Sus scrofa: one gene and its partner. The protein of the gene in region 1 purifies or fractionates together with the protein of each later gene. This does not show direct contact. Links are inferred from orthologs where the notes say so. Each region holds a gene or a part of one and is shown on either strand. Other genes may lie near its edges. The genes, in order: APOB and VCP.

Region 1 (3,823 bases):
GATGAAGAGATGGTAGGTTTTGATTTGGTGTTTCCTTTAAGTTCTTGCTTGAAATTCATTCTCAGAATTGGAAGTTGGACTCTTGCAGTTGTTGTCAACGATGCATCCACATTTTTCTTGGTGAAGCTAATGGTACTGTCATGATTACCTTCCATGAACTTATTACTCAGAGACAAAGCTGTGGCTAACTTTAACCCTCTCTTTCTCATCAAACTTGAGGTGCCCTCTAATTTGTATTGCAGGGCGTCAATAACAGAAGAAGAGAAAGTAAGAAAATGAGCAACAATATTTGACTGGTTATAAAGTCCGACATTGGTATTCAGTGTGATGACACTTGATTTAAAGGAAAAATCATAGGTAATATTGCCCATGGCTGGAATCAAAATTTTGTTTGAGGTACCTGATACCGCCAACTCTGGAAGAGAAATCTGAAGAATATTCCTAGGCACATCAAGGGCTGGCAGCTCTAGGAACTGCAGGCCTAAGGTGTATGAGGGCACGGAGATGCCAGAACCCAGAATGGTGATGTTTGGGGTGCTAATCTCTTTGGGGATCACATAGCCAAATGTCAACATCTTCACTGTGAATGGAGACACTTCAATGTTGATAACTGGAATAGTGTAGCCAGGAATTTGAAAGGTCCTGGGTTGCTGGTCGAGGGGTTTTTCAACCTTGTACTTATCAAATGTAATTTTTATTTCATTATAGGATTCAGTAAAAAAATCTAATGCCTTGTCCCTGACTGTCTCAAAATGCCTGTTGAAGGAATTGATGTTTCGATTGATAAATGCATAAAATACGTCCAGAGGATTTGGGATGGAATGCTTGTCTTTGTTTTTCTTATACTGAGCCTTAACACTTAAATCAAATGATTGCTTTGTTGTTTTCAAGAATTCCTTCAAGCCTGTCTTTTCCCATAAGGAGATATCTTTCACCTGGGGAACTGTGAGCCTTGTGTAAGGTAGAGTCATTTCAGGGATTGTTAAAGGAATGTTTAGGAAATCCAGGTTGGCTTCTCCATTTATTCCTATGTGGGCCTCGGTGCTTCTCTCATTGTTTACAGCAGAGAAATTTTGATTGTACTTATACTGATTGAACCTGGCACTCGCTTGCCAACTTGCTTGCTGAGCACTAGGACTCAGAAGCAGTGCATAGTTATTCAGGAAGTCTATCTTCCCTGTCAATTTTAATGGAAAACTAACTCTCAAATTCCCCTCATTGATTGTGGATGCAGTAATCTCAAGTGGCTGTGCTGAAAAGAAAAGAGAATTTTTCAAAGTTCCAATAACTTTTCCATTTAAATGAGCATCATGGTTGCCAGTTATCTCTGCTTTCCTTTCTCTAGGTAGGACCATGCCTTTAGCAGTTAGGACACTGCGGCCCACGTACTGACACTCAGCTTGTGAGTGGATTTCAAATTTGGAAAATTTGAGGAAGGCAGATTCATACACCATACTTTGGTTTACTCTTAGGTGTTTGCTTCTGATCTCGTTAGACAATCCAAAGGAAGTAATGGGTCCTTCCACAGTAAAGCTGATTTGTGACTCATGCGTTCCCTCGTCCGAGAATCTGTGGCATGCCAATTTCCAGGACCCTTTCCCAGAAGAACGCCATGCTATGTGGCTAGCTTCCAGCAGGGTTTTGATTTCACTGCGCAGGTCGGCCTGACTTGAGAAGTCCAGTTTGGGGATGTTCAATTCGTGGAAGTACTTTGTGTTGCTGTTCAGGGTAAGCTGATTATTTACCTTGAGGAGCACATCATTACTAAGTTTCAGTGTATTTTTTCCTGTGTATAAACCTGCCACAGTGTTTGATTTTCCCTCAATAGAATTTCCAACAAATAGCACTTCACTGCCGTGCTCTGTTTTCAGGTACTTGCTGGAGAACCTCACAGATTCCTTCAGAACTAGCGGATTGATCTCAGGGTCTGAAAGTTGTGCATTTGCTTGAAAATCAAAATTAAGAACTTCAAATTTAGATTCTCCTTTGGCAGTGAAGGAAGCCTCCATCTCTGCCGTGTTCTCTGAAGTAGTTATGTTCTGAATGTTAGCATTTGCCTCTAATATGAGAAGGGGAGACTGGATTTTCAAAATGCCGTGCAGCTTGCCAAAAGCAGGTACTTCAACTGTGTGTGGGATGTGGGGAAGCTGGAATTCTGGTATGTGAAGGTCAGAAACTTGGAAATCTGTAAGGTTGAGGTTGGGGATTACAAATTCTGGAATTCTGATTTCTGGTAAATACAAGTCTGGTAGAGTGATTCTAGCAAGCATGGTTTCTACCCCATTCAGATCCCTCAGGTATACTTCCGGGACTGGCCACTGCAGCTCACTGTTAAGCATTTGATCAATGGTTCTGATGATCTTTGCTTTTATTTCCACCAAGTCAATTGTAAAGGAGGGGACGTGGAAGGTATTGAGGACAGTAAATTCTGGCGTGGAAAACCTGGATGGGATTTCGATGTCTTTCAACTTTTTGAAGTTTATCTGTACCGATGGAATCTTCAGATCTGTCAGAGGGACGATGAAGTCAGGGGTCTGATATGTGGCCTCCTGAAGAGCACGGAGACTGACTTCAAAGGCAGGTAGGGTCCCAAAGGTGGTCTGGATTTCAGGAACAGTGAACCCTTGTTCTACCAGTGCTTTCAGGTTTTTGGCCCAGTCTTGGATAGAATACTGCTCTGCAAAGTCAGTAAGGTTCTTAGCAGCGAGATCCCACCAGTCAGAGATGTAAGTGACAAGCGTGCTGTAAACCTGGCCAACCAGGAACAGGTATCGCTGGATTTCCTGCTGCACGTCCATTTGATACATTCGGTCTCGTACATCTTCTAGGGTCTCGTGGAATTTGGCTTTCATGTGAACTATGGGTGTTGAACTTAGAGTTCCCTGTAACCAATCAAAGAATAAGGTTATTTTGGTGGCCTTTAGGTTTTCCAGATGGACTGAGATCAAGGCCTTGATGTCTTCTGACAACAGTTTGAGTGCTGTAAATTTCTGTGGAAGTTCTAGAGCCTGAATTTTGCCGTTGATTCTTTGAGTCACCTCATGAAGGTTCTTATTGGTTTCATCTAAAAAATGGTGGTAATCAAATGACCTTAATCTCTTTACCAACATGTCAAGGAATTTGTTTACTTCTTCAATTAATTGTTGGAAAGACAATGCTTCAAGCTGCTTGAGAGTGTCATCAATAAACCAGGTCAGTGTCTCAAGAAGATCTTGTATCTTGACTTGTTGTAGGATACTGCTTAGTTTCTGAACAGTCTCCTGCAGCTTATATTGGTGGGCCAAGTGCACTGAATTGTCCATTAAAACCTGAATGTGTTCATCTATTTTGTACATCTTAATTAACTCATGGACCATGGCTCTGAATGCATTGATTTCCTTAGTTACTTCAAAATCTTCAAAAAGACTTTTAACACAGTATTTGACATGCTCAATAACTTCCTTTATTTCTTGGAATGGTATTGTAGTTCTCAACTGATCTAAAAGCACTCTGGCATCAATATCTTCAACCTGTTGTTTTAACTTCTCAGCAAGGTGCTGAATGTCTATGTTCTGAATCTGGGCCTTGAGTTGTTGCAGTTTTTCTTGTATCCAGAGTCTGATTTGATAATTAATATTCACATTTTGAAACCAAGATGCAGTACTGCTTCTAGTTTTGTTAAAGCCAATCTTTTCAATAAACAAATGCAGATCGTGGATTTTTTTTACTAAATTTACATGGATATGATAACGTTCATCAAGAATTTTCAATGTTGCAATGATTTCATCAATAATCCTAGCAATAGCTGTCTTAAAATCATGTAAATCATAATTATCTTTAATAT
Region 2 (3,823 bases), on another chromosome or scaffold:
ATGAAAGTTCCCAGGCTAGGGGTCAAATGGGAGCTGTAGCCGCTGGCCTGTGCCACAGCCACAGCCACAGCACCACCAGATCCAAGCCACATCTTCAGCCTACACCACAGCTCACGGCAATGCCAGATCCTTAACCCACTGAACAAGGTGAGGGATCAAACCTGTGTCCTCATGGATGCTAGTCAGTTTCATCTCCTCTGAGCCATGACAGGAACTTCTGGTTTTGACTTTTTGAACCAGCTCCATGGAGTTGTGTCTTTTCAAAGATTACCGTGAAACTCCCTTTAAGCTTGAGCTTTGTTCTGGTGAAGATTCTAGATCTGTTAGTGTCAAGTATTTATTTTTTTTCAAATATGATGGTCTTTGTGCTTTGCATTCCTGTGGTAGGTAGAAGGCTCCTGACATTCAGCAGGTTTATCTGGTAAGGAGAGTAGCACTAATAATTTTGCTTTATTGTTCCCGGGCTTGTTTTGTGGGTCTTGGAGCCTATGGGAGGTTGCCTTGCTCACTTTGTTCTATAAGAAGGTTAGCAAAGAAAGAGCTTATGCTGTGTTCTGCAGTGCTAATCATAGTGACCGTTGATACCATATGCATTTTGTTGAGCATTTTGTGTTCATTACACTCTGAGATAGGTACTACTATAGTCCCCATTTTATAGATGAGGACGTCAGCCTCCAAAGAGGTTAAATAAGTTGCCCAAAATCACAGTTAAGCTCTGGCAGGGTTGGGATTCAGACTCAACAAGTCAGACTACAGGGACGCTTCTCTTTTTAATCACCATTCTATGCTGTCTAAGACTATTTTTATTTCTCTAATTATTGCTCAGGCTTCACTTTTTTTTTCCCCCTCTTTTGGCTGCCCGCAGCATATGGAATTCTAGGGCCAGAGATCAGATCTCATCTGCATTTGCCATCTATGCTGCAGCTGCAGCAATGCCAGATCCTTAACATGCTATGCCAGAGATCAAACCTGTGTCCTAGCGCTCCAGAGATGCCACTGATCCCATTGTACCACAGTGGGAACTCTTCAGCCTCCACTTTTACTCTTGTCATCTTAGTTTCCTGACCCTGGGACAAGATCGCCTGGGGCCACGCAGCTAGGATACCAGGAGTGCTCAGAATACTGAGTTGCCGAATGAGGAATTGTAACATAGACTTGATATTCTTCTTGACCTTGGCTGAATTGCTTTTCATCTGAGTTCTTGGTATAGGCATAGCTTCATCTATCCACTATTTCTTTCCTAAGTGTGAGTTATAGAGACTGGTGGGGTCCTCAGAGCTGGAGTAAGTTTTAGAACTGACTTCATTTTCTCTTTCTAGTTCCAAAGGTGATGATTTATCAACAGCCATTCTTAAACAGAAGAATCGTCCCAATCGGTTAATTGTTGATGAAGCCATCAATGAGGACAACAGTGTGGTATCTTTGTCCCAGGTAAGTTGGGTCCGCAGTGCAATTTTTACTTATTGCACTTAACCTGAGGGCTTTTCCCAGGTTTCTTTTCTCATTTTTCTTGCAGTGACCACAGATAGAGTGGGGTTTACTGGGAATCCCAACCTCCAGGGCTGCTGCTTACCCCCTGGCCCAGTGACCCAAAGGCCTTAACCTTCTTTCCTCAGCCCAAGATGGATGAGCTGCAGTTGTTCCGAGGTGACACAGTGTTGCTGAAAGGAAAGAAGAGGCGGGAAGCTGTGTGCATTGTGCTTTCTGATGACACATGTTCTGATGAGAAGATTCGAATGAATAGAGTTGTTCGGAATAACCTTCGCGTACACCTAGGGGATGTCATCAGGTGTGTGTGGGGTTCTTGACCCCTCAGGGATGGGAGCCCAGAGACAGCCTGCTTTATAGGCAGTACCCCCACAAGGCCTTGGCAGCTACAGATATTGGGACCTTGCAAGCTATGGGACGACATAATGTGTTTAGGTTGTCTTAGGTTTTGATTTTGCCTCTGAGATTTCAAAATCTGCCTCTGCATGACCCTTGGGATAAGTTGGCATTTCTATGACTTTCTTGGTACTTTTGTTTTTTCCTGTCAAAAGTATAATTCATCATACCTTAGACCTTGGTTTAGGATGCCATCTGGAACCAGTAACCTTACTACTGTGTTGCATTAATGGCTTGTGTTGGGGCTGGAATGAGATGGGGATATGGGCATGGAAGGTAGACTCCTAGTAGATCTGTTTAAGGATCCAAGTTAACCTAGGAGAGATGCATAGTTTGAACCAGACCTAGGATAGCTCCAGTTTGAGTGATTTTAGACTTAACATTAAGGCAAGAAGCTTCCCCATCCTGGATTCATCTCTAGCCACTGCTCCCCAACCTTCTGTCACCTGACTAGGAACATCTCTGGCTTCTGATTCTTTTTCATGGATTCTAGGTTTCATGTAGCCTTCTTCCTGGAGGTGCTTAGTCACTTTCTCAAGGTGCTCTGACCACCTGATAAGATTATTTTTTCACTTCCATTTCTCTGACCCTGACACTTTTCAGTCTGAGGTTTCCCTTTTGTAATACTGGGTCACCGATATTAACCAGAATGGGTTATCCTTGGATATCGCTTACTGAAGACCCTTCCTCTTATGTCTTTGTGGGGGTTCTAGATGTGTAGATCTTCCTTTTGGCTCATAATTGCGAGCGAGCAGCCCCAGCAGCTTCTTCTAGCACCTCCCCCACCCCCACGACCCCACATGGCATATGACCTGTTCTGCTTGGCTGTTCCTTTGCCCTCACTTCCACCCTACCCTCTTACTGCTCTTCACCTAAAGCCATCCCTGCCTTTTCTCTTTGGCTCGTCATCAGCTCTCTGTGCCAGGCCCTTTCGGACACCCAGTGCTTGGGGCTGCAGTGTGGTTGGTAACGTGGAGTCTGCTTGTCATCCTCAGCATCCAGCCATGCCCTGATGTGAAGTACGGCAAACGTATCCATGTACTACCCATCGATGACACAGTGGAAGGCATCACTGGCAATCTCTTTGAGGTATACCTTAAGCCATACTTCCTGGAAGCTTATCGACCCATCCGGAAAGGTGAGACATAATTCTAGGGACTGTTTGTAGGATACCCAGGAGTAAACCTTGGGACACCTTTGTCTCATTCTCATGTATGTGTGCATACACACACATTCTGTACACATGTGCTCACGTGTACTCTCTCCTTCCTCCTCTTCCTCCCCACTCCCCGCTTTTCCCATTTCCACTCCTCACTCCAGTAAACCATCTTCTCTTTATTCGAAGGAAGAGGTGGGCCATTCTGACTATGTCACAGTCTAGAGTGTATTTACGATTTAGCACAGTTCTACCATTGGTGGTGTTTGTGAAAGTTTGGGTTATCTATACCCTAGAAGTCAAAAACCTGATGGGCTTCTTTCTGATACATTAGGTTGTTTACTGTCTTGAGTGGCAGAGGGCCTCTTATAGTTGAGCTTTCTCTTTTTGCCTGATGCTTAATATGATGGGGATGGGAAGGAGAAAGGGCAATATTTAGTGAACTTGGCACTCTAAACACTAGGTTCTGATGAGGGATTCTCACTTGGTCTGGTAATAGACACCTCTAACTGCTCTTGTGCTGACTGCTCTCACAGGAGATATTTTCCTTGTTCGGGGTGGGATGCGTGCAGTAGAGTTCAAAGTAGTGGAGACGGATCCCAGTCCTTACTGCATTGTTGCACCAGACACAGTGATCCACTGTGAAGGAGAGCCTATCAAACGAGAGGTAAGTTCTCTCCCTGGTCCTGGTACCATGCTTTGTGATTACTCAGTGGATCAGTCATGTGGTAATTCCAAAGAATTCCCAGGCTTATAGCCAGGCTTTTTCCCCGAGGTGGGAAA

What was found.
Region 2: the proteins of APOB (region 1) and VCP purify together in Homo sapiens (affinity purification with western blotting, with the first as the bait; 3 studies listed by BioGRID). This does not show direct contact. The link is inferred for Sus scrofa from reciprocal best matches to the Homo sapiens genes APOB and VCP.

What each region holds. Positions count from the first base shown.
Region 1 is NC_010445.4:117,306,948-117,310,770, reverse strand, and holds part of APOB (apolipoprotein B-100), read right to left. Parts: coding exon 1-3,823. UniProt on the Homo sapiens protein: Apolipoprotein B is a major protein constituent of chylomicrons (apo B-48), LDL (apo B-100) and VLDL (apo B-100). Apo B-100 functions as a recognition signal for the cellular binding and internalization of LDL particles by the apoB/E receptor.
Region 2 is NC_010443.5:235,863,026-235,866,848, reverse strand, and holds part of VCP (transitional endoplasmic reticulum ATPase), read left to right. Parts: intron 1-1,319; coding exon of another isoform or gene 1,320-1,431; intron 1,432-1,516; 5' UTR 1,517-1,616; coding exon of another isoform or gene 1,617-1,622; coding exon 1,623-1,789; intron 1,790-2,879; coding exon 2,880-3,022; intron 3,023-3,576; coding exon 3,577-3,707; intron 3,708-3,823. UniProt on the Homo sapiens protein: Necessary for the fragmentation of Golgi stacks during mitosis and for their reassembly after mitosis. Involved in the formation of the transitional endoplasmic reticulum (tER).